Linked DNA regions of Caenorhabditis elegans. The protein of the gene in region 1 purifies or fractionates together with the protein of each later gene. This does not show direct contact. Each region holds a gene or a part of one and is shown in the gene's direction. Other genes may lie near its edges.

The links.
Region 2: the proteins of nspg-7.2 (region 1) and ani-3 fractionate together in Caenorhabditis elegans (co-fractionation; one large-scale study listed by BioGRID). This does not show direct contact.

The regions. Positions count from the first base shown.
Region 1 is NC_003281.10:3,249,348-3,263,873, reverse strand, and holds nspg-7.2 (DUF19 domain-containing protein), read left to right. Parts: upstream 1-5,467; 5' UTR 5,468-5,478; coding exon 5,479-5,759; intron 5,760-6,527; coding exon 6,528-6,625; intron 6,626-6,680; coding exon 6,681-6,740; intron 6,741-6,793; coding exon 6,794-6,899; intron 6,900-6,948; coding exon 6,949-7,009; intron 7,010-7,060; coding exon 7,061-7,144; 3' UTR 7,145-7,185; downstream 7,186-14,526. Other genes in the region: Y53G8AM.7 (RING-type domain-containing protein), read left to right, coding at 1-188, 2,245-2,429, 2,669-2,736; Y53G8AM.6 (uncharacterized protein), read left to right, coding at 4,083-4,094, 4,141-4,400, 4,450-4,543; Y53G8AM.4 (RING-type domain-containing protein), read left to right, coding at 8,255-8,459, 8,771-8,880, 8,934-9,307, 9,608-9,848; Y53G8AL.3 (CUB domain-containing protein), read left to right, coding at 10,731-10,784, 10,827-10,910, 11,258-11,323, 11,370-11,441, 11,707-11,916, 12,240-12,413; Y53G8AL.4 (Apple domain-containing protein), read left to right, coding at 13,336-13,357, 14,030-14,103, 14,322-14,507.
Region 2 is NC_003283.11:19,690,004-19,708,075, forward strand, and holds ani-3 (Anillin-like protein 3), read left to right. Parts: upstream 1-7,728; 5' UTR 7,729-7,779; coding exon 7,780-7,839; intron 7,840-7,897; coding exon 7,898-8,075; intron 8,076-9,010; coding exon 9,011-9,323; intron 9,324-10,139; coding exon 10,140-10,515; intron 10,516-11,078; coding exon 11,079-11,430; intron 11,431-12,041; coding exon 12,042-12,217; intron 12,218-12,729; coding exon 12,730-12,814; intron 12,815-12,903; coding exon 12,904-13,171; intron 13,172-13,623; coding exon 13,624-13,860; intron 13,861-14,936; coding exon 14,937-15,021; 3' UTR 15,022-15,209; downstream 15,210-18,072. Other genes in the region: Multidrug resistance protein mrp-7, read left to right, coding at 739-1,231, 2,642-2,765; Y43F8C.13 (Nucleoside hydrolase), read right to left, coding at 3,985-4,083, 4,546-4,748, 5,193-5,393, 5,599-5,720, 6,494-6,854, 7,353-7,383; srv-3 (Serpentine receptor class gamma), read right to left, coding at 16,282-16,336, 16,891-17,245, 18,054-18,072.

The DNA.
Region 1 (14,526 bases):
TGGTTCTACGTGTCATGCGGTCTGCTTACTGTAATCCCATTGCTCTTCGGATATTTCGTCGCCAAGATTTTCTTCAAATTCGTCCAAATTTGCGGAAAAGGTGTGAAGAAAGCTCCGCGAGTTGAGCAAGTGATTACTGTAAGCTCAGTGGAAACTGGACCACCTGCCGCTCTCGGAAATGATACAAGGTAAGCCACGTCCCCTGTTAAGCTCCGCCCCTTTATTGGCCCCACTGAAAGGACCAAAATTTAGATTTTTAAAAAAGGAGTTTTTTGTTGGAAAACTTGAGATTTATCAGGTCGTCCCATAAGTTTTTGTACTTTTTTAAAACTTTTTGAACAAGTTCTAAACTGACAGAACAAAATCGAATCTTTTATAAATGCGCATGTATAGTATGTACTACTTGTCAAAATTTTGATGCGTTATTTCAATATCCTCCTGATAACAATCACGGAAACCAGAGCCACAAATAGCGACATACCCAAATAATGGGAGGTGTTTTCCTTCGTCCTGCTATTCACAGGGAATTTATCAATGAACATGAAAACATAGTATTAGTAAAGATAATGATTCAAAATACATGTTCAGTATGGTTAAAATTATCATTAGCACTTATTAGCCGTTTTGGACGTGGACTATTTGGCTCATGTTTATCAAGCACTGAGTGAACATCTTCATGGAATAATTTCTCACTAAAAGTGATGGGATTATTTTGATTGTTGTTTCTAATTTTATATAACAATACTTGCATAGTACAAATACAAACTTCGTTTTACTTGCTGATTTCTCAATCATAAATTAGAAGCCCAACACTATAAATGTCGGGTATCACATGAGGTTGGCCATGTAGATTGTTTGAACGAAGAGGCCACCAGTAAAGTTTGTTAATTTATTTATGATACATATATCCACTTCTAAATAACACTAGACTTAATTATCTATCTTTCATTCCGAGGACTAAATGGACCAATATATGCTTCAATCACTCCTATAGGCAATTGTTAAAAAGTACAAAATAGTGTGGTTACAAAGTTCTCAATTATAACATCTCCCCATGACTGAAAAAATTAAATTTTTTTTAAATTTTGACTGCACATGATGTGCACTTATCGTAAACATACACGATGCACCCGTTCCATTCCCAGCGGCTTCACAGGAATCAAAAACTCGGGCGCCATATTTAATTGGCCTCAACAATTGTGTTTAGCTACAGTAGTTTTTCCGGAATAGTTATACTAAATTTAAAATTATTTAAAACAAGAGTGTGGAAGCATCTACTTGACAGTATATATTAACCATTACTTTAAGCTCTGGGTGGTGTAGAACAAACTCCAGAAGGAATGGTGTAAAAAGCTGATTCTATAGTTACTCGTTTTTCTAAACAACCGCGGGGGCCTGGGATGCCAGAGTTATGTTGCAATAAGGTGACAAGTTGGTGACATGCTACCACTAATATAAAATCTTAGAATTGTCCGAAAAAGTTTTGGGAATAATTCGAAAAAAAGTACAAAAACTTATGGGACGACCTGATAAAAAAAATTTGTTCAACTTGAAATTAATTTTGACTGAAAATCAATAAACCACGCCCATTTTTAGGCTAGGCTCCTATCTTGGCTTCACTCCAAATTCCAAAAATTTTATTTAAAAACAAATGTTTTGCTGAGCAATGAATTTTTGCAAATTGATCAAAAATTAAAAATTTTTAATTAAAATTTTGAAAATAAGCCACGCCTTGGCCACCTCTTTGTGTTAATTTTTTCAGAACATTTTTTTCAAACATTTGGGTATTTTCTTTTGAAATATTATTCTGAGACTGAAAATAATTTATTCTAAAGTTTTGAAATAAGCCACACTTCAGTTTTAGGCTCCGCCACTTTCTTGAATAATTTCTAAAAAAAAATTTTCAGAACATTTTTTTCTCAAAAATTTTGGGATTTTTTATGAAATATTTTTCTGAAACTGAATATAAATTATTCTAAAATTTTCAAAGAAGCTACCGCTTTTGTTAAGCTCCGCCCCTCTCTTGGCTCCACTTAAAGTTACAAAAACTTGATTAAAAACTGTTGCTCTTGATAATTTTGAATTGTTGAAAATTGCTCAAAATTAACAAATAGACTAGCTTCTACAAAAATTTAAAAGAATCTTATCAAATAATTTGAAAAATTACTTTCAAATTTCACTCAAACTTGCAAATTTCTGATCTCGTCAATTAAAAAAAAAAAAAAATTTTTTTTAATTTTTCAGCTCCTCCAGAGCGCCAGAGTGCAAAATTTGTGTGCTCCCTTATTCGGATAAGGACAAAAAACGAACACCGAGAATATTAATTCGCTGTGGACACACAATATGCGAAGAATGTTGTGATAATTTGCTGAAAGTATCGGTTGATCATATTTTGTGCCCATTGTGCCGCCAGCATACTAGTGTAAAAGGTAGGTATGGGAAAAACGATAAATATAGATTTTTTGCGGTGTTTTTTTAAGGAAAAATAATGAAAAATAGTTAGTGAAAGAAAAATAGATTTTATTTTGGGAAAAAATAGTACATTGAAACTTTTCAAAGTTAAAAAAATCTAAAACTTTATTAACTTTTAACGGACTTTCAAGAAGAAAGTTTTGAAATGTTATAAAAAGTCAAAAAATCGATTTTTCCAGAATTTCACAATTTTCAGAAAAAAGCGACCGACTCCCGAAAAACTATGCAATTATGGAAATGGTGTACTACTGTGAGCTGAGTTAGTGGCGGATTTGAGGCCGAAAATTTCAATTCATGTGATTTTTTTTTTAAGTTTTTGCGAATAAAACTAATATTTAACAAAAAATTTATTTCACACTTGACGTTTTTCTTGAGTTTTTTAATTTTAAATGTTTGATAAAAACAAAAAATAATTAATTAAAATACGTGACTTCTTAAACACGTAAAGTACAATTCTATTCCACGTTTACAAGAAGTTCCAGTTCCTTCGCACTCCGTCAATTTGAAATTTTTTCAAACATGGGAGCCGTTAAATTCCTTTCTATCGTTCTACTCTTTGTGGATTTTACCTGCTATGCAATTGCTGGATCAAAGATTGCAGCAAACATGTCGCAAAACGAGCTTGACCAGGAGTTGAACGGGTTTTATTCTGCAACTGAATGAACATCGTCGACGAGTTGCGAAGAGGATGAACGTATTAGGTCTCCAAATAAGTTCCGGGTCAAAACTCATAACTTTGTTCGCTGCGTATCGATTTTCATGAAACTGTGGGAATTTATGTTATCAACCATGATCTTTCATTTGACAATAGTCACAAAATTTTTTGACCACCCCAAGTGCCCTAACTCGGAGCCAATTTTTTCAGACATTTTTCAGATCTCGCTTCTTTTCAGGTTTCAATTGAGGTTTGTGTGCGGATTTTGCTAAGTTTAGTACACAATGTAAGAAAACAAAAAAAGTTTGGAAAAAAATCCGTCCAAAAAATTTTTTTTCGTCGGTCGTCAAAAAATCTTCAAAAAATTTTGCCGAAAATTCTTGATTTTTTATACAAAAATGATGTAACCATGTGCAAACTATTTTTACACGTACACAACATTTAAGTTTAACATTTGGATCTCGATAAATACTCCAAAAACTCAAAAATATTTCAAAAAAGCTATGTTTTCTGTTATTATTTCAGTGTGACGCACTAAATTGAAATGTTTTGTATGTGTAAAAATAGTTTGCACTTGGTTACATCATTTTTGTATAAAAAATCAAGAATTTTCGGAAAAAAATTTTTCTGAAGATTTTTTGACGACCGACGAAAAAAAATTTTTTTGGACGTATTTTTTTCCAAACTTTTTTTGTTTTCTTACATTGTGTACTAAACTGAGCAAGATCCGCACACAAACCTCAATTGAAAAATGAAAAGAAGCGAGATCTGAAAAATGTCTGAAAAAATTGGCTCCGAGTTAGGGCACTTCGGACGGTCAAAAATTTTTGTGACTATTGTCAAATGAAAGATCATGGTTGATAACATAAATTCCCACAGTTTCATAAAAATCGATACGCAGCGAACAAAGTTATCAATTTTGACCCGGAACTTATTTGGAGACCTAATATCAAACATGAATGAAATGGCAAGTGAAAAAGGAATTTCAAATACTGATGTTACATTAATTGTAGGTATTCGTTCATGCTTCCTATTATAACGTTTTCAACTTTGAAAATCTAGTTTCTTTCGATAAACTACTGCCGGCTGAGAAGGATTTGGAAAAGTTTGTAGAGAAGATCACTGGGCCCTTCTTTCTTTGTGCTGGCTGGTTTTTAGTTGACATTATGTTCACTGATTCATTACAAAAAACAATTGGATGTCGATATAAGTGTGAGGAGAATGACGCAATTAATTGTAAAAATGATACCTTAAAGTGTTTTTTTAGTCCATAGTAAGTTTTTTAGCGCTTGATTTATGCATCTAACTCGATAAAACTTTAGTTACCCCGCTGCTGGTTGGCTCAGCAACATAACCACCGGACTTCCTGGATCAGCTTGTGACTCTGATCGTTACAACAACGATGGTCTCTGTTGACTGGGTGCCCCTACTACCACTACTCTCAAGCCTTCTCAAGATGTTCCGAAGTCAGTTGATCAAAAGGATCAGAAGAAGCTTCAGCCAGATTCCACTACGAAGCCCAGCTCAATTGACTCGCCGGTTCGCATTTTTTCGATATTCTCTTCCGGCTGTCTTATTCTACTTTTGAACTTTATTGATATGTATAGAATTGAATAAATTAGTCGGATCTGAATAGAAAATCCGAGAAATTGATTTGTATGTATGATGGTGGAAATTTCAGCGGTTTAGGTTTCAACTCTAAGTTTTAAACATTGCACAGTTCGGAAAGCTGGGACTTTGTTTTTTTAGACTCAAATTGGCTGCTGATTAAAATTGAAGTTCTGAAAATGTTCGGCAATTTCCGTTTTTCTGGCAAATTCGGCAATTTTCCAATTTGCCGTTTGCCAAAAAAATCATTTGTCGCTCACCCCTGGTGTAAACACCAAGTCTTTGACTTCTCGCCATAGTGCAGGAATGAGGCAAAAGGCAGGCAGGTTGGAGGCAGGCGTCAGGCCCATAAACCACGCCTGCCTCCCATAGAAGCCCAAATACCTATAAGATTCATTATGACAATGCTACAACATTCATAATCTGTGAGTCACAAGTCAATCGTGATGTATAATGGTTTTTGAGTCAAATGACGAAAGAAGTTTCGCCAGTTCAAATATATCACGTCTTATCTTTAACAAATTACGGACAAAGTTTACAAACGACCGGAGCAGGTGTGGTCGTGTGAACCAAGCGATCAAAAAATTGATTGTCACGGTTTTCTCGTCGACTAGGTTTCTCTCCGTAGCCTATTATTTCGGGGAAGATGATTTCTGGAGCTTTTGTTATAAAATGGACTCCGATTTTGAAATTAGATATATTTTTAGGTATACTTGGCTTTTTCCAATTATTCAACTTTCAGTATGCGTTGTGTAGCACTTGTTCTTCTTGTGGCCGTAGGCATCTCTCAGGCTGCCTTCCTCCTACCGTACACCCTTCCAAGTGATGTTATCCAAACAATTGCAACCAAGGAAACTCGAAAGAGCAATACGTGCCAAAATATTCAGCTGAACTATTGCCAGAACCAATTCAACACTTTCCTCGGAATCGACGACGCAATTACTTGGCGTGATGGATCATCATTTTTCGAAGCTGTGGAGTCGTATTTGGATATGAATGTGACTGAGCTCATGAAAGTTTGCAAGTGAGTTGGATTATTTGAAAATCTACAAAACAATGACCTACAAAAAATGCGGGATTTTTTTCCGAAAAAAAAGTGACGTCAGCACGTTCTTAACCATGCGAATACGTGTTTTCAGAGTGCCCCATTTCGGTTTGATCTACGAGAATCGCGGGAACTTGGACAGTTCTGAACTGATTCTGCATCAGAAAATTCCCGCATTTCTTGTAGATCAACCCGTGATTTGACAACCTGACACCACCTGTCATCTCCTATATATATATATATAGTTTAAGACTGAAAAGCATAGTAACTTTTAAGTATAGTTGGCTTTTGGAAATTTTTCCAGACTTTTCAGTAAATGTATCTCAAAAACTAGAGGCCTTAACAGTTATACCATCTCCTAAAGTTTTCCTAAGCTTCTAGAAAATTCCGAATGCTTCCAGATTTCTCTAGAAATTTCCAGAATTTTTCAGAATTTCCCAGAGACCAGCAAAACTTTTTAGAAGTTTCTATAAGTTTTCCGTAGTTTCGGCGCATTTCCGAGGATCCTAGATTTTTCCAAAATTAAAAAAAATTTTTTTAAATATTTCCAGAAATTTTTCGATAGATTTAGAGCTTTTTAGAAGTTTTCGCAAAAATTTTGAAGCCAAAATTTTTCCCAAAAAATTCGAATTTCCAGGCAAACTTATTTCTCAGAAAATTTGAACTTCCCGCCGAATTTTTATGAAAAAAAATTCGAATTTCCCGCCAATCATTTTCTCAGAAATTTGAATCCCCCGTTTTTTCCAGCGTCCGCACTCAATTCTACCAGTGCCTGGGAAGCAGCTACTACTCGTGTATCAATCTTGAATATCTCGCCGGACAATCAAATTCTGACTTGGGAAATGGTAAATTTTGGCAAATTGGTTTGTGCCTACCTACACCTACCTGAAAATTTTCCAGCCTTCGACTACGTCAAAACCTTCCGCGGACTCGAGTGGATGTGCAGCGGCGGTTATCGTGGTTTGTATTAAAATTTTTTGGATTTTTTTCTTAAATCTTCGAGAAAATTCCAGAAGTAATCAATCACTGGAGCTGTCTTAAGGATTTCCCATCCTCCGATTCCTATAAAGCCTGCACTCAAACCTTCAATTCAGCAGTTTCTACCTCCAACTACTGCCCGTAAGCTAAAAAAATTGATTTCAAATTTTTGAATTCAAAAAACTTCCAGAGCCGTCGAACAAGCCGGAGCCTGCTTGAGTAATGCTTATCACGCTACTTGCGGAGCCAACGTATGTTACTTCTAGTGGAGACTACAAATACTACAAACTACAAAATTTCAGGCTGGACACTACGGATGCAAGAATTTCAATTCGGCTTTTGACACCTCGTGCTCCGGACTGAAGTGCCTTTTGGACAAGGATTAAATTTTTTGAATTAAGATCTTCTGGAATAAATTTTTTGAGCATTTTTTTTCGAGAACCAAAAAAAGGGGGTGACCTTAGGCTCCGCACACTAAAGGAACTTGCTTCAGGGCAATTGAAACTTGAAAAAAAAACATTTTGAATGAAAAAAAACGTTATAGCAGGAAGAGACGCAGACAACGAGAGTGTGTCTGCGTTTCCTTCTGCGCCAAGACAGTGTGTACTGGAGGGAGACGCAGGCAACGAGAGCGCGCGCGCTGTCTGCGTCTCCCCGCACCTCCCGCACTCTCGGTAGCCTAAACTTCAAAGACACATAACTCCGCGCTGGTTAGAGCTATCGAAAAATTTTCAACTGCAAAAATATTCAACGTGAAATTTTGCGTAGGATGAGTTAAAAATTTCAAAACTTCAAACAAATTCAGCGCCTAAATTTTGAAATTAAAAAACATCAAACAAAATCCTCAAAACTGAATACAATAGACACGCATCATTATGGTAATCATTTTTTCAATTGAAAGTTCAATGACATCTCTTGCTGTTCTAGAGATACACGTTGTTCTAGCAAACGGGGAGAGACGCAGACAACGAGAGTGCGCCCGCTGTCTGCGTCTCCCCTCACCTTCCGCTCTCTCGGTAGCCTACACTTTAAACGCTCATAACTTTTTTCACGGTTGAGCTATCAAAAAATATCCAACTGCAAAATTGTTCAACGTAAAATTTTACATAGGTTAAAATAAAGTTGGAACCATTTTAAACAAACATAACCTTAAAACTTTTAGAATAATGTCCTCGCTTTCTGCGTCTCCACGAGCTCTCTAAACTTCAAACTCTCATAGCTCCTCACTGAGCAAAGCTATCAAAATGTTGCCAAAAAAAAGTTCAAAATTTTATACGAATTGCTCAATTTCCGCCTAATAAGCACAATTTCTCGGTTGATGAAAGTTTTCAATTTCTCACTTCCATTAATCCCGTCTTTGAACTCAAGTATAAAAGGATCACCGGAGCCCCCCGTGGGTTACCCCTGGCAACCCACTTTTGTTTCTCTCATTCCTCCACGGCATCTTAAACCTTTTTCCTAATCAAAGGCTATCCGGTTACCCTAAAAGTACGAAAATGTCGGCCGACTCGTGCATAACTGTCACACTTATCATTGCACTTCATTTCTGCGGGATTATCACAACTTTTCTCCCAATTTCTTCGATTTTCCACGACAATTTTGAATATTTGAATGAAATCTGGTTTTTGGTGTACTTTTACGGATTCTGTGTGTACTCTAATATTCTGTATTGGCTTTATTTCGAGTTTGTGGAGAGAGCAGGTGGGGTTTACGAATATTTTTAAAAAATCTAACGGCCATGACATGTAAAATTTTCCGCTGATCAAATTTGCAGTTGGAAATTTTTTGATACCTCTCACCGTTTAGGAGATAAAGACGTTCAAAGTTAGGGCGCTGAGAGACTGTGAGTGGAGGGGAGACGCAGCGTGCGCGCGCTGTCTGCGTCTCCCCTCCCTCCACACTCTCTCACCTTGCTCAACTTCAAACGCCTGTATCTCCTGAACGGTGAGAGATATCAAAAAACTATCAACTGCAAAAATAATCAGCAAAAAATTTTACACAACATTCTTTAGATCACAGCTCCCGTCGAATTCTGGTATGGACATTCTCGACAGCTAACGGTATGCTAACATTTGCACGATTTGCTCCACAAGTTTACTTTTTATTTGGATATGGTGCATCGGTATTTTTAATTTTTTTAAAGGAGTTTTGGGGTTCAAGCGGCAAAATTTCCAGATTTTCTACATCTTATTTGTCGCCCTGAACTGTGTATCCTCAATTCTACAATTCGGCTGCTTCCACGTATACATCACAAGTTACAAGTACCACAAATACCGTGCTTTTTTTCGTGGCTGGTTTGTTCCAATACTTAACTGTTTGAATTTCGTCCTGGCGCTAATATTTCTGATCAATTTGAATTTTAACGTAATCTCTTTTTATATGGTCAATTCTCTTATTTTCTACTTGGCTATTACTTTTTCCCTACTATTTTTCAAGAAAATATTTTACGCCTGGAAAAGGTTTAAACAAGGATCCCTTGCGTCGGAGTTCTTCAATAAGTATATGAATTTCAAGCTGCCCAATATTTTCCTAGATGGAGTACCTACTGAGTAAGTTTTTTGTGAAAAAATACATGGCTTTGGATAGAGAAAAATATGCTGATCATTTTTGCAGTTGAAAGTTTTTTAATACCTCTTACCGTTTAGGAGATACAAACGTTTAAAGTTGCGAGCGGTGAGAGAGTGTGGAGGGAGGGGAGACGCAGGGTGCGCGCTCTGCCCGCACTCTCCCCCTCCCCCACACACTCTCACATCCTAACTTCAAACCGCTATATCTCCGCGCTAGGTAGAGATATCAAAAGGCTTCCAACTAACAAAATGCTTCAAATTTTAAGTTCTACATTTTTCCAGAACTTGCGGAGCCTACTGTCGCATCTGTCTTAAGAAGTACTCAGAAAACGACACCAAAAGTGTGCCTCGCTTCTTGTTTGCATGCGGCCACACGTATTGCGATGAATGCTGTAACACAATTTTGAAGAAGAAATCGGAATATTCTACAAAGTATTTTTGTGTTTTTTGTGGCCAGCGAACGTTTGGAAGTATTAGGAAGAATTTTGCGGTGCTGGAGGCGATGGATGATAGGAAACATTAATTTTTAGTTTGTTTTTGAGATTAATAAACTGTAATGGAAAATAAAATGGCATTTGACTGATAAGGAATGGCTTATAGACTTTAGAAAATAAAATTGAGGAACAATACTGATAGCTTATCAGTTTGTGGTTCGTGCACAAAATGTTTCAGATGAAGCTTATCAGTACAAAACAATTAGTTCAAAGAATTCTCGGGAGGGAGAGTCCAAACACAGGAATAAACTTGTGGCGATTTGAAAAATGAAAAACGGTTTGGGGTACCCACTGAGTAAATTTCATTTTTATTGCAATGGATAGAGAAAAATATGCTGATCATTTTTGCAGTTGAAAGTTTTTTGATACCTCTCTCCGTTCAGGAGATACAGACGTTTGAAGTTAAGACGTTGAGAGAGTGTGGGGGAAGGGGAGAGTGCGGGCAGAGCGCGCACCCTGCGTCTCCCCTCTCCCCACACACTCTCCTCACCTTAACTTTAAACGTGTGTATCTCTTGAACGGTGAGAGGTATTGAAAAATTTTCAACTGCAAAACTAATCAGCATATTTTTTTCTATCAATTGGCGTGTTTTTAAAAAAAATCAAATAAAAAGTAAGCCACCCTCAATGGCTAGGAAAATATTGGCCAATTTAAAATCCATATACGCTTCTTTATTTTTGCAGAACCTGTGAGGTGTCGGCCGCTACAAATTTTTGCAGAATTTTTTAGTTTTCCTATGAAAAAAGTTCAGAAACTACAAAAAACTATATTATAATATAAATTTCCATGCTCCGCAGAGCGATTTTTTCTCGTTGCCTAGTGAAGTGGCAGCTCATCATCATTTCATTTTTGAATTCGTTTCCAATTTCATTTGTCATTATTCGCTTTTTGGGCTTCTTCCCTCTAAAAACATGCGAAATATCCTATTTTTGACAATAATTGGATTTTCCCAAGCGAATTTTTTGGTGAGAAGCCTTACAAAACTCAAAAAAAGCTCAAATTTTCAGCCAGATTCCATCTATTCCTTCCAACTTTCATGTTTGGACACCACTAGTTCTTCGACCACTGAAGTTCCTGCAACTACTACACCAGTGAGTTTGGAATTTGTTTCGTCAGCTCATACGACGCAAAATGTTCTGCTGATTATTTTTGCAGTTGAAAATTTTCTGATATCTCTAACCGTTAGGAAGATACAAGTGTTTATAGTTTAGGCGTCAAAAGAGTGTGGGGTGAGGGGAGAGTGCGAGAGTGCGCGCGCTGTCTGCGTCTCCTCTCCCCCTCCACTCTCTCACCACTCTTATCTTGAAACCTCTGTAACTTTGCACTGGTTAGAGCAATCGAAAAGTTTTCAACAGACAAAATGTGTAAAATTTTAAGATCTACATTTTTTTTAGTTGAAAATGTTTTCCTAACTCTGAAATTCTTGGAATTTTTCCAGACAAAAACAGTGTTCAACTTTAATTTAACCTGCCCCACCACATCCACTGTCATGCCTACAACTACTGTGAGTTGGAAATTTTTTCATTCCGGACACAGAAACAGATTTTCAGATCGAAACCTCCAAATCCGAGCAGTGCGGAGCAAATAGGAAGACAACTAGCATGAGTTTCCAAAAATCTTTTGTTAGTTTCGGGCGTAGAATTTTATACTGATCAGTTTTGTAGTTGGAAGTTTTTTGATACCTCTGCTGGGAACCGAGATACAGAGGTTTAAAGTTGGAGAGGAGAGAGGGGGAGACGCAGACGACGAGAGTGCGCGCGCTGTCTGCGTCTCCCCCTCGCATCCACTCTCGTCACTTCCAACTTTAACTCTATGTATCTTCGTTCCCATGAAAAAAAAAATTTCCAACTAACAAAATACTCCAAATTTCAAAATCTACAATTTCAGGTCACCGGCGCCTGCCTCACCTACCCCTTTATCGGACAATCCCTTACCTACCGTAACCAGGAGGATCTAGCAGCTCAAGATTACTCGAAGATTATGACTTTTAAGGCAATTACGTATATAACCAGAGAGCAGTATTCAACTCAAATAGAGGATTTCTTGAAGTTGAGCCCGAGTTTGAATGTTTTCGTGGTGCAGTTTGATGGGACCTCGGTAAGAAAATAGCTGATAACTTTTTTGTGAGGAGAGATATCAGAAATTTGTAAACTAAAGAAATATAGCCCTTAAAATTTTCTACATTTTGTTAATTGAAAACTTTTTAATAGCTATTTTTTCCAAGGAGTTATGCGCTTTTAAACTAGACGCGCTCAGAAGGAGTAGCTCAAATTCTTATCATTAAAGGCGCATAACTCCGCGGAAATAATAGCTATCAAAAAGTTGTCAAATATAAAAATGTGTAAAATTTTAAGCACTACAAATTGTTAGTTGAACATTTTTGAAAATCAAGATTTTCCGCGGAGTTATGCTTATTCCAGAGAGCCGTCCTCCTAGACGCTGCCCTACAAAACTCGTGCTCCACCGACACATCTGACTGCCTGGATTTCAAGTATGAAGATGTGAACTCAATTTTCTTCACTATTTGCTGGGATTCCAAAAACTATTCGAATGGGCTTTATATTGAAACTTTGTTCGATCAAATATTATTGTAAAAAATCGCAAAAATCCATAATTGTGTTAATTATCAAATGTAAAATTCCATGCTCAACTTTTTTACAATTTAAAGTTTTTTGATATCTCCAACCGTTAATGAGATACGGGCGTTTGAACTTGGCGAAGAGAGAGAGAAAGAGAAGGGGGAGAGACGCAGACGACGAGAGCGCGCGCGCCGCCTGCGTCTCCCCTCCCCACACTCTCTCGTCACCGCTAACTTAAAACGCATGTATCGGGAGATAACTAGGTTCGAAGTCTGAATTTTGAGATTTTTGAGTTTTGTTTTAGGAAATTAGAATTTTATTGTAACAGGAAAGGATGTATTAACTGATTTTTCTGTGAGAAAAAAGTATAAAAAAGTTTGGAAAAAATTTTTAAAAATGTCCAAAAAAATTTTTTTTAGATAACTTATACCGTGAAATTTTTTCAAATTTCCACTATTTCCAATTACTCTTTTCAAAAATACCCTCTTAATCAATTTTTTCGCTCCTTCACGCCTTCAAGCCCCTATGACGTCACCAATCCCCAGTGAAAGGGGCCCATGCCTACCCCTGCTAAAAACTACAATATACCCCTAAAACCATCCCGTGAGTAATCAAAAATCGCGTCTAGCGCAAGCTTCCGGCTGAAAAATGCAAAAATCCCAAAAAAAACCGCCCAAAATCGTGCAAAATCTCAGAAAACTGGGCGGAAGAGGACACAAATTCGCCTCTTTGGAAGAGGAAATTACGTCGTATTGTATCGAATGACACCTCTCCCGCGCAACACGATATATATAGGGGACCTTTAAATGGAATAAGACCTATTTGCTAAATTTGGAAATTTGTTGGAAAAAAAAATTTTCTAAACAAAAAAATTTTTGTTTCGGAAATTTTTTTTCCAAAAGATTTTTCCGAAATTTTCTACTATTTTTCATCTAAAATGAACGGATTAAACCACTTATGTAAGTTATTGTTGGATTCAGGACCCACGTGGCCTAGAAACCCCATATTCGGGCTCAGTGGCCTAGAAAATCCAGAAAAGTTAGGCCACGCATGGTTTTTAGCAGAAAACCGTTTTTTTTTTCAATTATGTTTCGTAGAAAACATGCATAATTTCATGGATTCCCCAAATTTTTCTTAATTTTTCAGACATGGCTGAGAAAAAAAACCGGAAAAGTTAGGCCATGGGAAATTTTTCACAAAAAGTGAAATTTTTCCGTGAAGAATCTATTTTTTTCAGTTTTAGTATGAAAAATTTGAAAAATTTCGTTGCTTTTCAATAAAAAACTAATTTTCAGACGTGGCCTAGAAAAATAACCGGAAAAGTTAGGCCACGCAGCATTTTTCTAGAAAATTGCAAATTTTTCGAGAAACGCGTTATGTCTTCACTTTTAATTTTGAAAAACGTGCTTAATTTGCTTTTTAATCAAATTTTTTCAAATTTTAAGACGTGGCCAAGAAAAACCAGCTGAAAAAATAGGCCACGAAATTTTTCTTCGAAAAGCTCCATTTTTCCGCGATTTCGCCGCTGGAAATTAACTTTCGGCCAACGTTTCTGTGAAAATTATTTTTTAAAACTCTAAATATCTGCCAAAAAACCACTGTGGCCTAAACAATTCCATTGATTTTTCCAGTATTCTTCTTACTTATCGTCACGTTTGCCGGATTTTCATTTTCCCGCCCCGACCACCATTCGAGGAACTGCAAAGTAAGTGCGCTCTAGCGAACAACGAAGCTGCAAACGCGCTCCATTGAGAATTTTGCTTAAATGGTGGAAATCTCGGGGGTTTCTGGAGATATATCGATTTTTATTCGATATTTCGCTGAAAAAAATTGAAAAATTTGAGAAAAATCATTCAAAACCCTAGTTTTTCGCCGATTTTTTCCGCATTTTTTCAAGAATTCGGAATATTTTTTGATTTCCAGGCTTACCGACGACCGGCTCTAAACGAAGTGCTCACGAGAATATGCCTACTTTGCCATGAAATGTTTTCAGTCGACCAGCCGAATCTAGCCGCCGAGTGCAGCTCGAATTGCTTCAGGAATCCGGCGTTTAACAAGTGTCTCAACTTTTTTAGGCCGAAATTTTCTCCTTTTCTGGGTTCCACGTGATAAATAAATTGGTTTTAAT
Region 2 (18,072 bases), on another chromosome or scaffold:
TGAAAATTTGAATTTCCCGCCGAAAATTGACTGAAAATTTGAATTTCCCGCCAAAAATTGACTGAAAATTTGAATTTCCCGCCAAAAATTGACTGAAAATTTGAATTTCCCGCCAAAAATTGACTGAAAATTTGAATTTCCCGCCGAAAATTGACTGAAAATTTGAATTTCTCGCCAAAAATTGACAGAAAATTTGAATTTCCCCCCAAAAATTGACAGAAAATTTGAATTTCCCCCCAAAAATTGACACAAAAAATAAGGGTAAAGTGGGCGGAGCCTATTCTACAGTACCCATCCGAAAAAAAAAACAATTTTTTTCTTATTATACATTCGTAAAATTTTTGAACCACTTTTTGACGAATGTGTAATATTAAAATTGTTTTTTTAAAGTTTTTTTCCGATATTGTAATAATTTATTTTTTTAATCAAAAAATTTGAAAATATTGGGTTTAAAGTGGGCGGAGCCAAGTCTACAGTACTCTTGAAAATGGTATTATTTAGGCAAACGTATAATATCCCAAATTATTTGAATTGTTTTCCGATAAAAAGTGGGCGGCGGAGCCTAAATACATCTGAAATTTGATTTTTTTTTGGGGTACTGTAGAATAGACTCCGCCCCCCACTTTCTTCCTGTTTTTTAAAAATCAATTTTCGGCGGGAAATTCAAATTTTCAGTCAATTTTTGGCGAAAAATTCAAATTTTCTCACTGAATGCCCCCTAAAATCCCAATTTTCCAGGTAAATCCTCGTTCGCATTGGCCCTTTTCCGAATGATTGAAGCTGCCGGCGGTCGAATTGTGATCGATGACGTTGAAGTTTCTCAAATCGGGCTTCACGATCTTCGTTCTAACATTACAATTATTCCACAGGATCCTGTATTATTCTCAGGAACTCTTCGTTTCAATTTAGATCCATTCTTCACTTATTCCGATGATCAAATCTGGAGAGCTCTGGAACTTGCTCATTTGAAACATTTCGCTGCCGGTCTTCCAGACGGTCTTCTCTATAAAATCAGTGAAGCCGGCGAGAATCTGAGTGTTGGACAGCGGCAATTGGTCGCGCTGGCTCGGGCTCTACTCCGGCATACTCGGGTTTTAGTGTTGGATGAAGCGACGGCGGCTGTCGATGTGGCTACGGATGCTCTGATTCAGGAGACTATCCGAGAGGAGTTCAAAGAGTGTACAGTATTCACGATTGCGCATCGATTGAATACTATCATGGATTATGATAGGTACTACTGAATAAGACTGAAAATTTGAGAATTTTTGACTGAAAAATCTGGAAAATTGACCGTAAAATAGTAATTTTCGACCGAAATTTGGTCTGAAAATGCTTGAAATCGATTTTTGTCAAAAATCGATAACTTTACCATAAATCGAATCGATAACTTTACCATAAATCGATTTTTTTTCCTATTAAAATCGAGTTTTTAAAAAATTAATTTATCGATTTTTCAAATATCGAAAATTGTTCCATTTATCGATTTTTTTTGAAAATCGATAACCTTTACAATTATCGATTTTTAAAATCCTAAAATAATTCAATTTATTTGAAAATCCATAAATCTAATTTTTTTTGTGATTTTTCGAATTTTATAAAAATCTTATATTTTAATTTTTTCGAAAACTGAAAAAAAAAAACAATTTTTTTCAATTTTTTGAAAAGTCGATAAATCTAATTTTTATCGATTTATCGATTTTTATAAAAATCGGGAATTTTTCGATTTTTATTAGAATCGAAAAAAAAAATCGTTTTTCAATATTAAAAATTGAAAAAATTAGATTTATCGATTTTTCGAAAAAAAAATCGAAAAAAAATTTTTTTTTTTCCGATTTTCGATTTTTTATGAAAAAATGGAAAAAAATTAGATTTATAGATTTTTTCCAAAAACTCGAAAAATTAACCAAAAACTGACTGAAAACCGTGGAAATCGTAATTTTCGACATAAAAATTCGCCTTAAGATGCTTGAAATTCAAAGAAATTGACTTTAATTTTGATTTATCGATTTTTCTAGCAAAATCGAATTTTATCGATTTTTTAAAAATCGAAGATTGTTAAATTTATTGACTTTTTAAAAATTAGCATCGAAATTGAAACAAATAATTTTTTCAATTTTTATGAAAAATCGATAAATCTAAAAATTTTTTTGCGATTTATCGATTTCCCAAAAAATCGATAATTTTACTTCTTTAAAAAAAATCAAAAATTGAAAAAAAAATACTGATTTTTTTCGATTTTACCCCAAACTGCCTGAAGAAGTCCGTAAAAATCGCAATTTTCTACCAAAATTTTGTCTGAAAATGTCTGAAATTCTGATAAATTGAATTTAATTTCTTTGATTTATCGATTTTTTCTATTGAAATCGAATTTTTACGATTTATTGATTTAATAAAGTGGCTAAAAATGGAAATTTTTGTCTGAAAGTCAATAAAATTTTCAGAAAATGAATTAAAATCGAAATTTTTTTTGGAAAATATTTTAAAATCTTCAAAAAATTCCGCTGATATTGGGATTTTTTACCCAAAAAACTGGAATTTTTTGAAAAAAAAATTTTTTTTTGTTGGTATTCCCGATGAATATTCCAACGCAAACCCCCACATTTTACCTTTCATAAAACCCCGAAAAATCCCAAATTTCCAGAATAATGGTGCTCGATAAGGGTTCAATTCTGGAATTCGACACACCGGACGCCCTAATGGCCGACAAGAACAGCGCCTTCGCAAAAATGGTCGCCGACGCTGCGGAACAGGACAAACACGAGTGAAATTGACACAAATTGACACCCAAAAATTAATATTTTCAAAGCTTTAATTCATATTTATCCCCCAATTTTTACCCCCGAAAATTCCCGAAAAATGCTCAATTTTTTGGAAATTTCACGAAAAGTTTCACTTCTCACACAAAATGAAACCGGTGCTCTCCCTTTTTTTCTCTTTCAACTCATATTTTATTACCTATTACCCATTTTTTGTTGAAATTGTGTGATTTTTAGCCGTTTTCTGTTAAGTAGAAGAACAATAAATTGATTTTTTCGCGAAAAACATAGTATATTGCTAGATTTTCGACTATTTTGAGGGCCAACTAACTCTGTAAAAATTATTGACACTAGCGGGGACTCGAACCTAGGACCTATTTCACCATAGCCGTCCATGTACCCAGTTGAGCCACTTCCATCCTTTTTCAGAAATGCTGACTAAGGCTGGAATTTGAGTTTTTTATATATGTAGAATTTTACTAGAAACTAGGAAACTACATTTCCGGCTGGTTTGGAGCACCGGGAGCAGCTAGGAGCTCCGTGAGCAATTTTAGAAGTGAAATTCGAAAATTTCAAAATTTTTGATATGGGGGTCAAATCGATGCAGAATTTTACGCTGAACAACATTTCAGTTGGCAACTTTTTGATAACTCTTCTAGTTTTTCAGTTATTTGCGATTTAGTCGGAAAACTATTTGAAAAACCTGAAATTTGCGAAATTCAGCTGAAATTTCTGATGTTCTCCATTAAAACATCTGCCTGCATGTTGCATTACCCTGGAAAAATTATTGACACTAGCGGGGACTCGAACCCCTGGCTTTTTTCACCATAGCCGTCCATCTACCCAGTTGAGCCACTTTCACCATTTTTCAAAAATGCTGGCTAAAGCTGGAATTTAGGTGTCCCTGGTGTAGAATTTCACGGTTATTTTGAATATCAGATTTTCAGCCAGTTTGGTTCACCGGGAGCAGGTAGGAGCTCCGCGAGCAGTTTTAGGTGTCAAATTCGAAAATTACAAAATATTCTAAATGGGGGTCAATTCGGTGCAGAATTTTACGCTGAACAACATTTCAGTTGACACTTTTTTGATATCTACTCTAGTTTTCGAGTTATGCTTCGAAAAAGTCATAATTTTCATTAAAAAATAACTTTTTATTGCAAATTTCAACACACACACACACACACCATAAATAAGAGCAATAAATGTGACATTTTACAGTTTTAAAGAGTTAATCGAATTTTCCACTTCCAGAAGTGGCTGCATGAAGCCACTTGTCCACAGTATGAACGTCGTAAGAGGTGACGAATTTGACACGGCGATGGGTGTGCTGAAAATTGGTTTATTAAACAAAAAATTGATAATATCTAGATTTTGGACTGTCTGAGTGTTGTATATCTATTGTATATAACATTAAAAATACTAATAAACCCAAAGGGATTCGAACCCCTGACCTATTTCACAATAGCCTCATCAATCTACCCACCTGAGCCACTTCGCCCCATTTTCAAAATTGCTGGCTAAGGCTGGAATTCAACCGTACCTGATGTAGAATACTACGGGGAACCCAAAAATCATGTTTTAAATAAGTTTGGAACACCATGAGCAGCTAAAAGCTCCGTGAGCAATTTTGGGTATCGACCTTGAAAATTTGAAAATTTTTTATATGGGGGTCAAATCGATGCAGAATTTCACGCTGAACAACATTTCAGTTGGCAACTTTTTGATAACTCTTCTAGTTTCCGAGTTATGCCTCAAAAACTATACAGAACCCCAGATTTTTTGTTTTCACCTGATTCGGAGCTTCCTCATTCGACCACAGTTGCTCGGTCCAATCAACCACAACCTGCCCACGTGTCTTTGTTCCATTCAGCTCTACATCGACATACAGGTACTGAGACTTTTTTGCAATTTTATCCTCATCGATTGCAGTAGCCACAGCGATCTCGTCGCAGTAGGAGTATTGGCGGCCGTTGGCCTCGCATTTTACGCGGCCTGGAACATACAAATCGAATTTAGGAACTCTAAAAAAAAAATGTACTTGTTGACTAATCTACAGACCTTCGAACTCTAAAAAAATTATTGACACACTAGCGGGGCCTCGAGAAGCCCGGACCTATTTCACCAAAGCCGTACATGTACCCAGTTGAGCCACTTCGACCCCTTTACAAAACTGCTGGCTAAGGCTGGAAGTTGAGTTTTCTGGGTGTAGGATTTTGCGGGTTATCCGAAAAACGAAATTTCAATACGTTTGAAGCATTGGGAAAGGCTAGGAGCTCCGCGAGCAATTTTAAGTGTCAAATTCGAAAATTTGAAAATTATCGACATGGGGGTCAAATCAATGCAGAATTTTACGCTGAACAACTTTCCAATTGACAGTTTTTTTTTGGTATCTAGTATCTACCCTAGTTTTCGAGTTATAACTTTAAAAAACCTTACCAATGCTGGTGGCCAGCGATAAGTAATTAGCCAATGGGGTTCCATACTTCAAATGAGCCGAAAAATCAACTGAAGCATCATGGGTCTTTGATTCAAAATAGAATGCCTCCCATGGAACAATGGTGATGGGACACTTCATACGTCGGAGCACAATGCTCGCGGCTTCCGGGTCTCCGTGGAAGTTGTACTCGGCTGAGGAACCTGGAAAAATTAGGGGGGCTTTTTGGGGTTTGACGGGTCTGTATCTCCGTCGGTTTTGGGTTTGTCAACAAATTGTTAACTGATGAAATGTTTGTTACATGTTTCTGAACAGGTTTATAGTTGAAACTTTTCTAATATCTCAAAAATGAAACGAGATATGGCCCGCCAAAGTGGTCCACCCTAGTTTTTTTTTTGAAGAACCTACCTCCATCAACATTTCCGACCGCGTAATAATTTCCTCCCATGATTACCAGCCGGGATGGGTACGTCGAAAACTCCTCGCAGAGTTGGAGAGCAATCGCCACGTTTGTGAGGGGACCGATGGTTCTGAAAAATGGTTTTGTTGAAAATTTAGGGAAAATTGAGCAAAAATAGATTAAAATCGAAATTTGACACCCAGAATAGCTCGGCGTAGGCGAAAATGTAGGAGGACTGTATGGATACTGTAGGAGTACCGTAGGACTTTAAAAGGGTAATGTTGAGGTACTATAGGGGTAATGTAGGGGTACTGTAGGAGTACTGTAGGGGTACTGAAGCGGTACTGTAGGGTTTCTGTAGGGGGTCTATTGGGGTAGGGTAGGGAAACTGTCCAGGTACCAGGGATACTGTAGGGGTACTGTAGAAATACTGTAGGTATACAGTTATGGTACCATAGGGCTTTAGTGGAATTAGTGTAGGGTTACTGTAGGGTTACTGTGTGTGTACTGTGGGGGGAACAGTAGGGGTACTGTAACACTATTGTGTGAGTACCTGTTCGGTTACCAGAGGTACTGTAGGGTTATGTAGGGGATCTGTTGGGGTACTGTCGGGGTACTATAGGGTTACTGTAGAGTTGCTGTAGGGATACTGTAGTGTTACTGCAAGGGCACAGTGGGGAACTGTGGGGATACAGTAACACTACTGCGTGAATACTAGAGGGGAACTGTCCGGGGTACCAGGGATAGTGCAGGGGTACTGTGGGGTACTGTAGGGATAGTGCAGGGGTACTGTGGGGTACTGTAGGGATAGTGCAAGGGTACTGTAGGTCGCTGTGGGGGTACTGTAGGGGTACTGTAGGGATGCGGTGGGGGTACAGAAGGGTTACTGTAGCCTCAACTTACACCAAAGTGGCATCCCGATTCTCTCTCAAAATATCGATTAAAGCAAGTGACGCATGCTTCCCCTCCCCCTCAAAATCGGATCTTTCGACTTTCGGGAACTCCTCCGGCTTATCACCGATCCCATCGATCCCGAAAAAATCGGATACGGTATCATCCTTCGGCAGCGACAAAATCGATTTAGCCGCACCCTTGTACACTGGGATATTGCTCCGATCGTTGGCTCGGATGGTTCTTTTGATGTTCGCACAGGCTTGATCTACTGTCACACAGCCGTGGACTGCGGTGAATGCGAGAATTTCGGCTTTTGGGTGCTGCAAGGCTAGGGAGATGGCTCGCACGTCGTCGCTTACACCGTCAGAGTCTGAAAATCGATTAATTTTTGTTTTTAAAGCTTAAAATTTGGTAAACTTTATGTAAAACTTTAAAAATCGATAAAACTCGCTAAGCAAGCGCGCTCCAGTGAACTAGTCCGTTTTCCGACGCTAATTTCAAATTTTCAAGTGTTTTTTGACGAAAATAAGTGGAAAATTTGAAGACTTCTTGTTTTTTTTTAAATTAGAATTCTCGTTTATCATCTGAAAATCCGAAAAAATCGATTATTGAAGCGTCTAGACTCGTTTTTTTAAATCGCCAAGCAATGCAATCACGCTCCAATGACAAACTCAGTTTTCTGGCGGGAAGCTCGAATTTTCCAGTGTTTTAACGAAAATCTTCGGAATTAATACGTTTTCGGTGTATTTGAACGTAGAAAAGTAGAAATTTTAAAAAAGAAAAGAAAAAACTCGAGTTTTAACGAATTTTATAGAATTTTTTACTCAAAAATTGGTTTAAATTTGTTTTTATTCTCCGTTTAACTCACCAATGACCAGCTTAACCTTGTCCACAGTCATGTTGTCTTTTTTCTGAAGAGCGTAATGTTATTAAAGTGAAAAAATTAAACTTAAAATAACTAAATAAATATATGAATTATTTCTCGTCGCAAAAAACGCAACATTTGGGCAAAAATCAATCTGTCACCTGAATAATGCACACAATCTTATCATTTTTTATCAATTCTTATCGCATTTTCTTCGATTATTCTCGCTTTTTCGCCGTAATTCCGCATAAATGCGATAATTCGCGAAAAAACTACGGTTTTTCTTAAAGGCGCATAGCTCAAAACTTCAAATAGGTCTCGCCACGAATTCAGTGATGTGAGGGATTCGATGGAATTTTGAATTTTTAAAATCGATTTTTGCGATTTCTAGACGGTTTTTCGCCGTTTTTTCGGAGATTTTTGACGAAAAATGGAGAATTTCGACGGAAAATCGATGCCGCCAACTCCGGTGCCAATCGGATCAAGTCAGGTAGGGCAAAAATCCGGAAAAATCGATACAATTCACAAAAAATCCGAATTTTTTCCAGTTCTACCGCTGGATGCCGCACCCGATCGTCGATACACCACCGTCAGATGCTACGTGGCGCAAACCGGTGCCACGCGGCCGAATTCGTGATCTCGTCGCCGCGTTCGATCAGTGCTCCGGCATGCTGGAGCAGAAGCCCCCACCTCCGCCCACGCAAAGGGTTGAAAGTCTTGAAAATGGTGCGGAAATCAATCGATAATTGAGAAAATCGATAGGGGAATGCGAAAAAACTGGAAAAAAATGGGGAAAATTGAGAAAAATTGAGGAAAATGAGAAAAAAAAACCATTTCCCCCGGTATTTCTCCTATTCAAATGCAAATTTATAAATTCACATGTATTGTTAATTTATTTGCACTGTCAACACACCAACTATACAGTTTTTACATGGAAAATTGATTTTTTAGAAAAAACAATCGGAAAATCCCAAAAGTTTTGGGAAAAATCCAGAAAAAATGGGATTTTTCGCAAGTTTTCGGATGAAAATTATGGTTTAAATTGAATTTTGAGTGGAAATTTGCAAAATTGGACTTTTTCAGAGAAAATAGTTATAATTTGCAAAAAACTAATTTTTAGAAATTTTTTTTTCCAAAAATTCAAAAAAATTTTTTTTTTCAAAATTTTCATTTTAATTGGCAATTTACCATTGAGTTTCTGGTGAATTTCGAAAATTTTCTCTAAAAAATCCTGAAAAAACGGAAAAACCTCTGGAAAATTCTAAATTTCCAGCAAAACCACCAAAATTGTCGGATTTTGTGTTAAAATTCTGTAATTTTCGGTGGAAAAATCGCTAAAATTTAGAATTTTGTGATTTTAAGCTAATTTTAAGGAATATTGTGAAAAAAATTAAATTTTTTAAGAATTAAAAAAAATTTCAAAAAATTTTTTTTTTTTTCAAAAATTAAAAAAAAATTTTTTTTCGAAATATTCACTTTTTATTGGGAATTTTACGAATTTTGAGCGAATTTTAAAAAAATTCCAAAAAACGATAATTTTTTTGCAAAAAAAATTTTTTTTCGAAAAAAAAATTCAAGTTTTTCCAACTTTTCACATTTTTCTCAAAAATGATCTTCAAAATTCGAAATTTCCCGCCAAAAATAACCCATTTTTCTTCCAGAACACATTGCTCCACCGCCAACTTCAAAATCCTCCAAAATTCCGGAAATTCTCGCCAAAAAATCGGAAAAATACATCTCACCGTACGAAAAACGTCATTTTCATGGTCGTCGTGGCACCCAGGCTGTCGTTTTTAATTCGAATAATGCTCAAAATGCTCCAAATGTGGGCGGAGCCTATCCATATGGAGCCACACCGTTGAAATTGCGAAATTTGGCCCAAAAAATGGATAAAGAGGAGCTCTACGTGGCTGATGACGTTGGAATTTCCAAAAAATCTGAAAATTTCGAAAATTCCGATGATGACGTGGCAAAGTACGAAAATTTGCGGCAAAAATGCTATAAATTCGAAAAAAATTCAAATTTTGTAGCCATTTTTGACATTTTTCCTTTAAAAAAAAATCTAAAATGTCCAAAAAAAAGCCGCGAAATTCAAATTTTTAATTTTTTCCTATAAAAATCGAAAATTTGCAGAAATTTTTGAGGTTTTTGAGACAATTTTTTGAATTGCCCAACTTTTTTTTGTTAAAATATCGAATTTTAAGTAAAAAACTACCGAAAATTCGACTTTCTCGCCTAAGAAGGGGCGGAGCCGCGCAGGCCACGCCCACAAAATGGTTATTAGCGATTTTTCGGCAAAAATTGCGAAAAAATCAATTAAAAAAAATCAATTCGGATTTTCAGTCAAAAATTTTCTAATATTCGATATTCTTGCCTGAAAAGAGGGCGGAGCCTAACAGGCCACGCCCACCAAATGGACGGAGCTTATTTTCTAAATACTAAAAAAAAACAAAAATTACAGCAAAAAAAACAAATTGAAATTTCAAAATTTCAAAAAAAAAGAGGGCGGAGCCTAACAGGCCACGCCCACCAAATGGGTGGAGCTTGTTATCTAAATACTAAAAAAAAAAAAAAAATTTGCAGGAAAAAACACAAATTGACACTTCAAAATTTCAAAAAAAAAAAGGCGGAGCCTAACAGGCCACGCCCACAAAACGGTTATGAGCTATTTTCGCTCAAATTTTGTAATTTTCAGTCAAATGTTCCCTAAAAATCGATATTCTGGAGCCCACAAAATGGCGACGAGCATATTTTCGTCAAAAATCGGTAAAAAATCGATATTTTTTGCAGTTTCCAAGAGCTTCTGGTGCTGGATGAGGTGCTGGAAAATGCTGAAAATTCTGAAAATCTGGAATCCCAGCAGTACGACGAGGAGAGCACCCTAAACCGAACATTTCAAGATTCTGGAGTTCCAGAAAATCAGGAAAATCTTCTCCAGCTCCCTGAGTGCCCAAAAACGCCGAAATTCACGAGTTCGCCCACGCTTTTCACACCGTATGCCGCTGGAGAGCCCATCGTTGAATATCGATGCTCGTCGGGCTCCGCGGGGGGTCCACTCAAAATTGTTGTGAAGAAGCTTCAGGCACCGATTGCACTTGCCACTTCGACACCGAAACCCGCAATGTGTCGGCCGCCGAAACACTCGGAACCACCACCGGCTTTTCAGGTGGATTATATCTGAGATTTTTGGCGGGTTTTTCAGTGAAAAAATTGAGAAAATCCCCGTTTGGAAAAAAGATTTTTAGTGGTTTTTGTGAAAAATCGAATTTTTCTCAAAAATTTGGAAAAAAATCTATTGAAAAATCGATTTTTTTTTTCGAAAATTTCGTAAAAAATCCATTTTTTCGAAAAAAACCAATTCAAAATTTCAAAAAAAAAGGGTTTTCTCTCCAAATTGTAAAAAAATCGATTTTTCTTTGAAAATTTTCTTCGAAAAAAAAAAGTTTTATTATATTTCGTTTAAAAAAATCGATTTTTTATTGTAGAATTCCGTAAAAAAATGGAATTTTTCGAAAAAATCAGTGAATTGTTTTTTGTTTTTTAACGAAGAAATTTCTAAAAAAAAATCGTTTTTTTCGAGAAAAATTTCATTTAAAAATCGATAATTTTGAAAAATTTCGATTCAAAAAACGTTTTTTCAAAAAAATTTCTTTAAAAATCAATTTTTTGAACTAAAATTTTGTAAAATTTCGTAAAAAATCGATTTTTTTACATCAATTTTTTGCGCAGGATTCCTTCGTGAGCTCAATCAGTAACTGGTCGGCAGTAGATCATCACGCGACGGATTCGCGCCGTCAAATGAACCGCCTACTCAATTCAATCGATGAAACTCGACATCACATTTTGCTCGCCGAGCACTCACTACTTGAAGCCCAAAAATCGAAATGTCCAATGCAAGAACTCGCGTCGCAACGGGTTTTGCTAATTTGTAGAGAACGGTTGAAAGTTCAATTGGAAGAAGTTCGGAGGCTTCAGGCAATGACTGTTGTCAGGCATCCACCACCACCGATTAATCGACATTTTAAATCGACTATGGTCATTTCGAATATTTCGCTTCAGTTTAATAAGCATTTCCATAGTCGTACGTGGTTTTTGAGTCTAAATTCGAGATTTTTGGGCCAAAATTGACTAAAAATTTGAATTTCCCGCCAAAATTTGACTGAAAATTTGAATTTTTGAATTTCCCGCCAAAAATTGACTGAAAATTTGAATTTTTGAATTTCCCGCCAAAAATTGACTGAAAATTTGAATTTTTGAATTTCCCGCCAAAAATTGATCACATGTTCGGTAGAGCGCACTTCGAAATTCAGAATTAAATTAGCGCGCATTCTGCGTTTTTAGTTAAAAATTTGAAAAAATTTGTGGTTTTTTGACACAAAACTCCAAAACATTGAATTCCCGCCGAAAAAAAAAATTGATTTTCGGTGGAGCGCACTTGCTGCAAGTATGCTCTACCGAACATTGATCGGTTTTCAGCGGGAAATTCAAATTTCCAGTCAATTTTTGGTGGGAAATTCAAAAATTCAAATTTTCAGTCAATTTTTGGCGGGAAATTCCAAAATTCAAATTTCCAGTCAATTTTTGGCGGGAAATTCAAAAATTCAAATTTTCAGTCAATTTTTGGCGGGAAATTCCAAAATTCAAATTTCCAGTCAATTTTTGGCGGGAAATTCAAAATTTCTGTGTTTTCAGGCGGCTCTTACGCTTTCCTTGTGCTCCTCAAATGCCGTACAGAAGTCGAGGCAACCGGTGTCGTTACCCTTTTGGCTCAATTCCAAACTCCGCAAAATTTCATTCTTTTCGGTGAACACTTGCGTTTTTCCAATCTTCCCGTCGATTTTACCATTGGAATGGAGATTTATATGATGGTAATGCTTGACAACAGAAAATAAAAATTTTTGACTGTAGTGGGGGTCGAACCCCGGACTTCTGGGCCGTAGCCATACCTCTACCCAGTTGAGCCACTTGTACAAAAAATTTTTTTTTTTTCGAAAAGAAGTACCAAAGCTGAAAATCTGCGTAGAGTTCTAATTTTTGATTAAAACCGCTCAAAAAACATCGTAAAAAATCAGTTTTTGAAAATTTTAGCCAATAAAGTCAGTTTCAATCGGTTTTTACCAAGAAAAACATCGTAAAATGATTTAAAACTAATTAACCCACCACTGGAGAGTAGCAAAAAAAATTTTTGACCGCAGCGGGGATCGAACCCCGGACCTCTGGGCCAGAGTCTAACCTCTACCCCACTGAGCCACTGGTACACAAAAAAAAATTTTTTTCAAAAAAAAAGGCCCCCCGGCCTCAAATTTTTTACTGATTCTGAATTTTTAGGTGTCTTACCACACGAATAGATACAAATACCTCAAAAATCTGGAATTTTCAGCGAGTTCCCGAGCACCGACCACCTGAGAAGACGTGCGCCGCGTTTTTGGCACAAAAAGTGCGGAATTTGCTGGTGCCGAGCAATGGTAATTTGGAAATTTTATTTGTTTTAGGAAATAAGGATGAAATTCCAAAAAAAAAAAAAAAATTTTTTTTCAAAAATTTCAAATTCCAGCCGCTCACCGCCGCCCGACTACCTCCACGCCACAAAAATCGATACAAAATGCCACGTCACCTGCGTGTGACTTCCAACTTTGCGGAAATTTAACGTTGGACCGCGATTCGTCGGGCGATAACCGCCGCTTCTATTTGGATGACGTCATTTATCCGCTGGAGGGAACTGTGAAGCTCAATTCACACTGCACATCACTTCCTGATGCAATTGATATGGAATATCGAGGATTTCTTCATATTTTACACGATTCTGCAAGTCCTTTGGAGAGGTACTTGGAAATTGACTGAAAATTTGAATTCCCCGCCAAAAATTGACTAGAAATTTGAATTTCCCGCCGAAAAATGACTGAAAATTTACATTTTTGAATTTCCCGCCAAAAATTGACTGAAAATTTGAATTTTTGGAATTTCCCGCCAAAAATTGACTAAAAATTTGAATTTTTGAATTTCCCGCCAAAAATTGACTGAAAATTTGAATTTTTGGAATTTCCCGCCAAAAATTGACTAAAAATTTGAATTTTTGAATTTCCCGCCAAAATTTGACTGAAAATTTGAATTTTTGAATTTCCCGCCAAAAATTGACTGAAAATTTGAATTTTTGGAATTTCCCGCCAAACATTGACTGAAAATTTGAATTTTTGAATTTCCCGCCGAAAAGTGACTGAAAATTTGAATTTTTGAATTTCCCGCCGAAAAACCACCTAAAAATTCCAATTTTCAGAGCAAAAAAAGTCCCAATTTGGCACAAATACTGGTCACTTCTTCATCGCGGAGCCATTTTGTTCTGGAGCACTCCACAAGAGGAAGTTCACGAAAAAGTCCCAATTTTCCAGATTGATTTGACAAAATGCACGAATAATTCGATTGAGGAGAGCCGTGAAATGAGCCAAGGAGCCGAGCACGAATTTCATATCGAGTTGCTCATCGATCAGGACCCTGATTTGATTGAAAAACGACGGTAGAGCACTGAAAAAATATATGAAAAAAAATTTTGACCACCGCGTGGGGTCGAACCCGAGACCCTCTGCGCCATAGCCAAGCCTCTACCCAGTTGCACCACTTGTGCAACAAAAAAAAATTTTGAAAAAAAAAACCAATGCGTCAAATTTTGCGTAGAATTCAGTTTTTCATATGGTTTCACACGAAAATTCATCAGAATTTGAAACGTTTGTGTTGGCTTAATTTGTAAAATTTCGAAAAAAATCGATTTTTGTTAGATTTTCACCCACCTCACAACTTTCAAGTTCTAGAAAAATCACTAACAAAAAATTATGACCACCGCGGGGGTCGAACCCGAGACCCTCTGCTCCAAAGCTAAACCTCTACCCAGTTGCGCCACTTGTACACCAAATTTTTTTTTGAAAAAAAAATAGCTCGAGTGGCCATATTCGGTGTAGAATTCAGTTTTCATATGCTTTTACATAAAAATTACCAGAATTCGAAACATTTGTGGATTATTTGAAAAAAATCGACAATTTTTAGAGAAACGCTTCGAAATTCCTAGTTTCTGGTAAATTTTCATCCACCTCACAACTTTCAAGTTCTAGAAAAATCACTAACAAAAAATTATGACCACCGCTGGGGTCGAACCCGGGACCCTCTGCTCCAAAGCTAATCCTCTAACCAGTTGAGCCACTTTTGCAAAAAAAAATTTGAAAAAAGTTTTTCATATGCTTTTACAAAAAAATAACTAGAATTCGAAACATTTGTGGATTAATTTGAAAAAATTCGAAAAAAAAATTCGATATTCAAAATTCCCAATTTCTGGTAAACGTTTACCCACCTCACAACTTTCAAGTTCTGGAAAAATGTTTATAAAAAATTTTGGCCACCGCGGGGGTCGAACCCGGGACCCTCTGCGCCATAGCCCAACCTCTACCCAGTTGAGCCACTTGCACACAAATTTTTTTGTCGAAAAAATAGCTCTGGTGGTCAAATTTTGAGTAGAAATACAATTTTCGCATTGCTTTAATCAAAAATCGACGCGAAATTTGGAGAAGATTACCTTTTTTTCCAAAATCTTCAAATTTTCAGTGTAATCCTGGCCGCCGAATCGTCGGATCACTTGAATTCGTGGCTCAGCGCAATCAACGATACACTCGACATTTTGAGATCCTAAATTTAATTATTTTTTCTTTGCTAACTTCTTTGTCTGCCTACCTACCTGCCTACTTATTATATATCTGCATCATTGTTTTTTTTGTTTCGAAGAATTTGAGTTTCCCGCCTCCAATAATCATTTAATGATCTTTTTTCCTGCATTTGTTTTTTTTTTCCGAACTGTTTTCATGAATTTTTGATGTTCCGAAAATTTGTTTTTTTTTTGTTTTTAAAAATCGAAAAATATCGATTTTCTGTGAATTGAGGGTAGAAAAATTAGAAATTTAGTACTTTGCCTACCAAAAAACGAGAAATAAAAAAATTGCGCCCGCGCGGGGACTGAGCCATCCCGTCAAAATTTTTTTCAAAAAAAATTTCGCCCGACTAATATTTAGAGTAAAATTCGAATTTTTTAATTTAAAACTTTCAAAATCTCTGGAAACCCTAATTTTTTTTGAGTCTTTAAAAACAATTTTTCAAGATATTTCGGTTTTTGGATAGAAAACGTGGCAGTTTTCAGATTTATTAAATTTTTAAGCAGCAAAGTACGAACTCCATAACATCAAAACAAGATAAAAAAATTTTAACATTAGCGGGACTCGAACCCCTGACCTACTGCTCCGATGCCAAACCTCTACCCAGTTGAGCCACTTAGTCCCAAAAATTTTTCGAAAAAAAGTGGGTCTACGGTTAGAATTCCGAGTAGAACTCAAATTTTTACACAAAAATCGTTTTTAAACTCGATTTTTCCTTGATTTCCCAATATTTTCTAACATCTGGTGTTCGAGTCGGAGCTCCGCGAGCTCACAAAATGCTCAAACATTTTCTGATTATTTTTCTAATATTTCCCATTCACTTAGCCACGAGCAAATCGCCGAGCAATTGGAGCTCTGCAAAGTTTTAAAGGTAGGATTTTCCGAAATTTTCTGAAAAACCTGAAATTTTTTTTCCAGAAATGCACATTTCCAAAACCCTACCAACAGGAAAATATTGCAAAATCCTGTGAATTGCTGGAATTTCAGACTTCGCCCCTGACAAATTGCTATCTGAAACTGAAAACTCAAAGATTTCCGGTCGAATTCTTTAAAATTTTCAGAAAAATCGTTTGTGGCACCGGAAATTTCGCGAAATCAGAAATTAGTGACGTCATCGGCTTCTGGTGCGGCTCAGCGGCTCGTGGGCAATTTTTGGTTGGAAATGCGGATTTATTGAGACATATTTATAGTTGTTAGTTGAGAAATTCATAAGAAAATGAATAAAATGAATAAAGTGTTCAAATTTATAATATTCTTCCTGATACAGTACCAATTGAGCTCCCGGAAAACGAGAAATTTCTGAAAAATACGATTTTTTGGAATAAAAATTTCAAAAAAAATTTCTAATTCGTTTTTGCACAATATATAGCATTGGTTAGCTGAAAAAAAGGTAACAAAAAATTTTGACCTTCTCGGGGGTCGAACCCCGGTCCTCTGCGTCATGGCCAAAGCTCTACCCGACTGAGCCACTCTCCCACTTTTTTTTTTTTGAAAAAAACGTCTCAAGTGTCAAATTTGATGTAGAACTCAGTTTTTCTTGTATTTTTAAACAAAAATGACTATACTTCAAGAAATTCTCGACTTTTCAACTATTTTTAGGGGAACGCTTCAACATTTTCAATATCGGGTAGAATTTTACCCATCTTATATTTTTAAGTACTAGAAAATTGAGTTAAAAAGTTTTTGGCCACCTCGGGGGTCGAACCCCTGACCTTCTGCTCCATAGATAAACCTCTTCCCTACTGAGCCACCTGTATCCCAATTTGTTCTTTCAAAAAATGTCCCAGGGCTAAATTTCAACCCAAATCTAGTTTTAATATCATTTCAAGTCTCTGAGCACTCCAAACACTCACATTTTCGGTACAAACTCCTCTCGGAGCTTTCGGCTACTCAGCAACAATGACCAGCAGGATCCAATGCACATAATTTCAGTAGTAAAATACCATAAATCAGTTATCCAATCAAATATCTGCTCACCAATATAAAAATATAAAAATATACTTTTCAAAGCATTTGGGATGAATAGTACAAACGAAAAAACCGCGCATTTGAAAATTATAAATTCCGTTGAGTTTTTGAGCAATTTGCCATGTGATAAAGTTTTGGTTTTTAGAATGTAGAGTATACTGGTAAAGTATAAAGTAAAACTGACAAGAAAGCAAAAAGTAGAAATCGATAAATCCTGCAGAGCATCGAGCTTCATGAAATCTGAAAAATACATTTAAACCACTAGGTTTTTTATATTTTCAGGATATAATTGCGGATTTTTAATGAAAAAATTGGATTCTACTCAAGATTTGACCCTTGGCCACTTTTTTCAGAAAAAAAATTTAGTGAGCAAGTGGCTCAGTCGGGTACCGGTTTGGCTATGGCGCAGAGGTCCGGGGTTCGATTCCAGCTGGGGTTTAAAATTTTTGTTTTGTGTTTATTGTAAGACAAAAAAAATAAAAATTGCACGAAAATAAAAATGCACGAAAAATTGCGGGTTTTTCCGAAATAATCAAATTTTATCTTTTTTCTAATCGAAATTTGTTTTTTTGGTAATTTTAAACTGAAATTTTGGAATTCTACTGAAAATGTGAACCTTGGCCACTTTTTTCAGAAAAAAATTTAGTGAGCAAGTGGCTCAGTGGGGTAGGGGTTCTGCTATGGCGCAGAGGTCCGGAGTTCGATCCCCGCGCTGGTCAAATGTTTTTGTTTTGCTTGATTCGTGTTATTTATTATTATTTCTTTCAAAATTTTACAAGGAATCTGAAAATTTTATGGCTTCATTTTAAAAAAAGCGAAAAATCAATTTTTTCGAAATTCCCAAAATGAAACAATTTGTTACTTTTCTTTTTGGCATTTTTGAACCAAAAATTGGAATCCAACTCAAAATTTGACTCTAACAGCCTTTTTCAGAAAAAAAAAATTTGTGAGCAAGTGGCTCAGCCGGGTACAGGTTTGACTATGCCGCAGAGGTCCGGGGTTCGACCCCCACTGCGGTCAAAATTTTTTTGTTTTTTTTATAGTTTACCTGAATCTGCCCTCAGCGA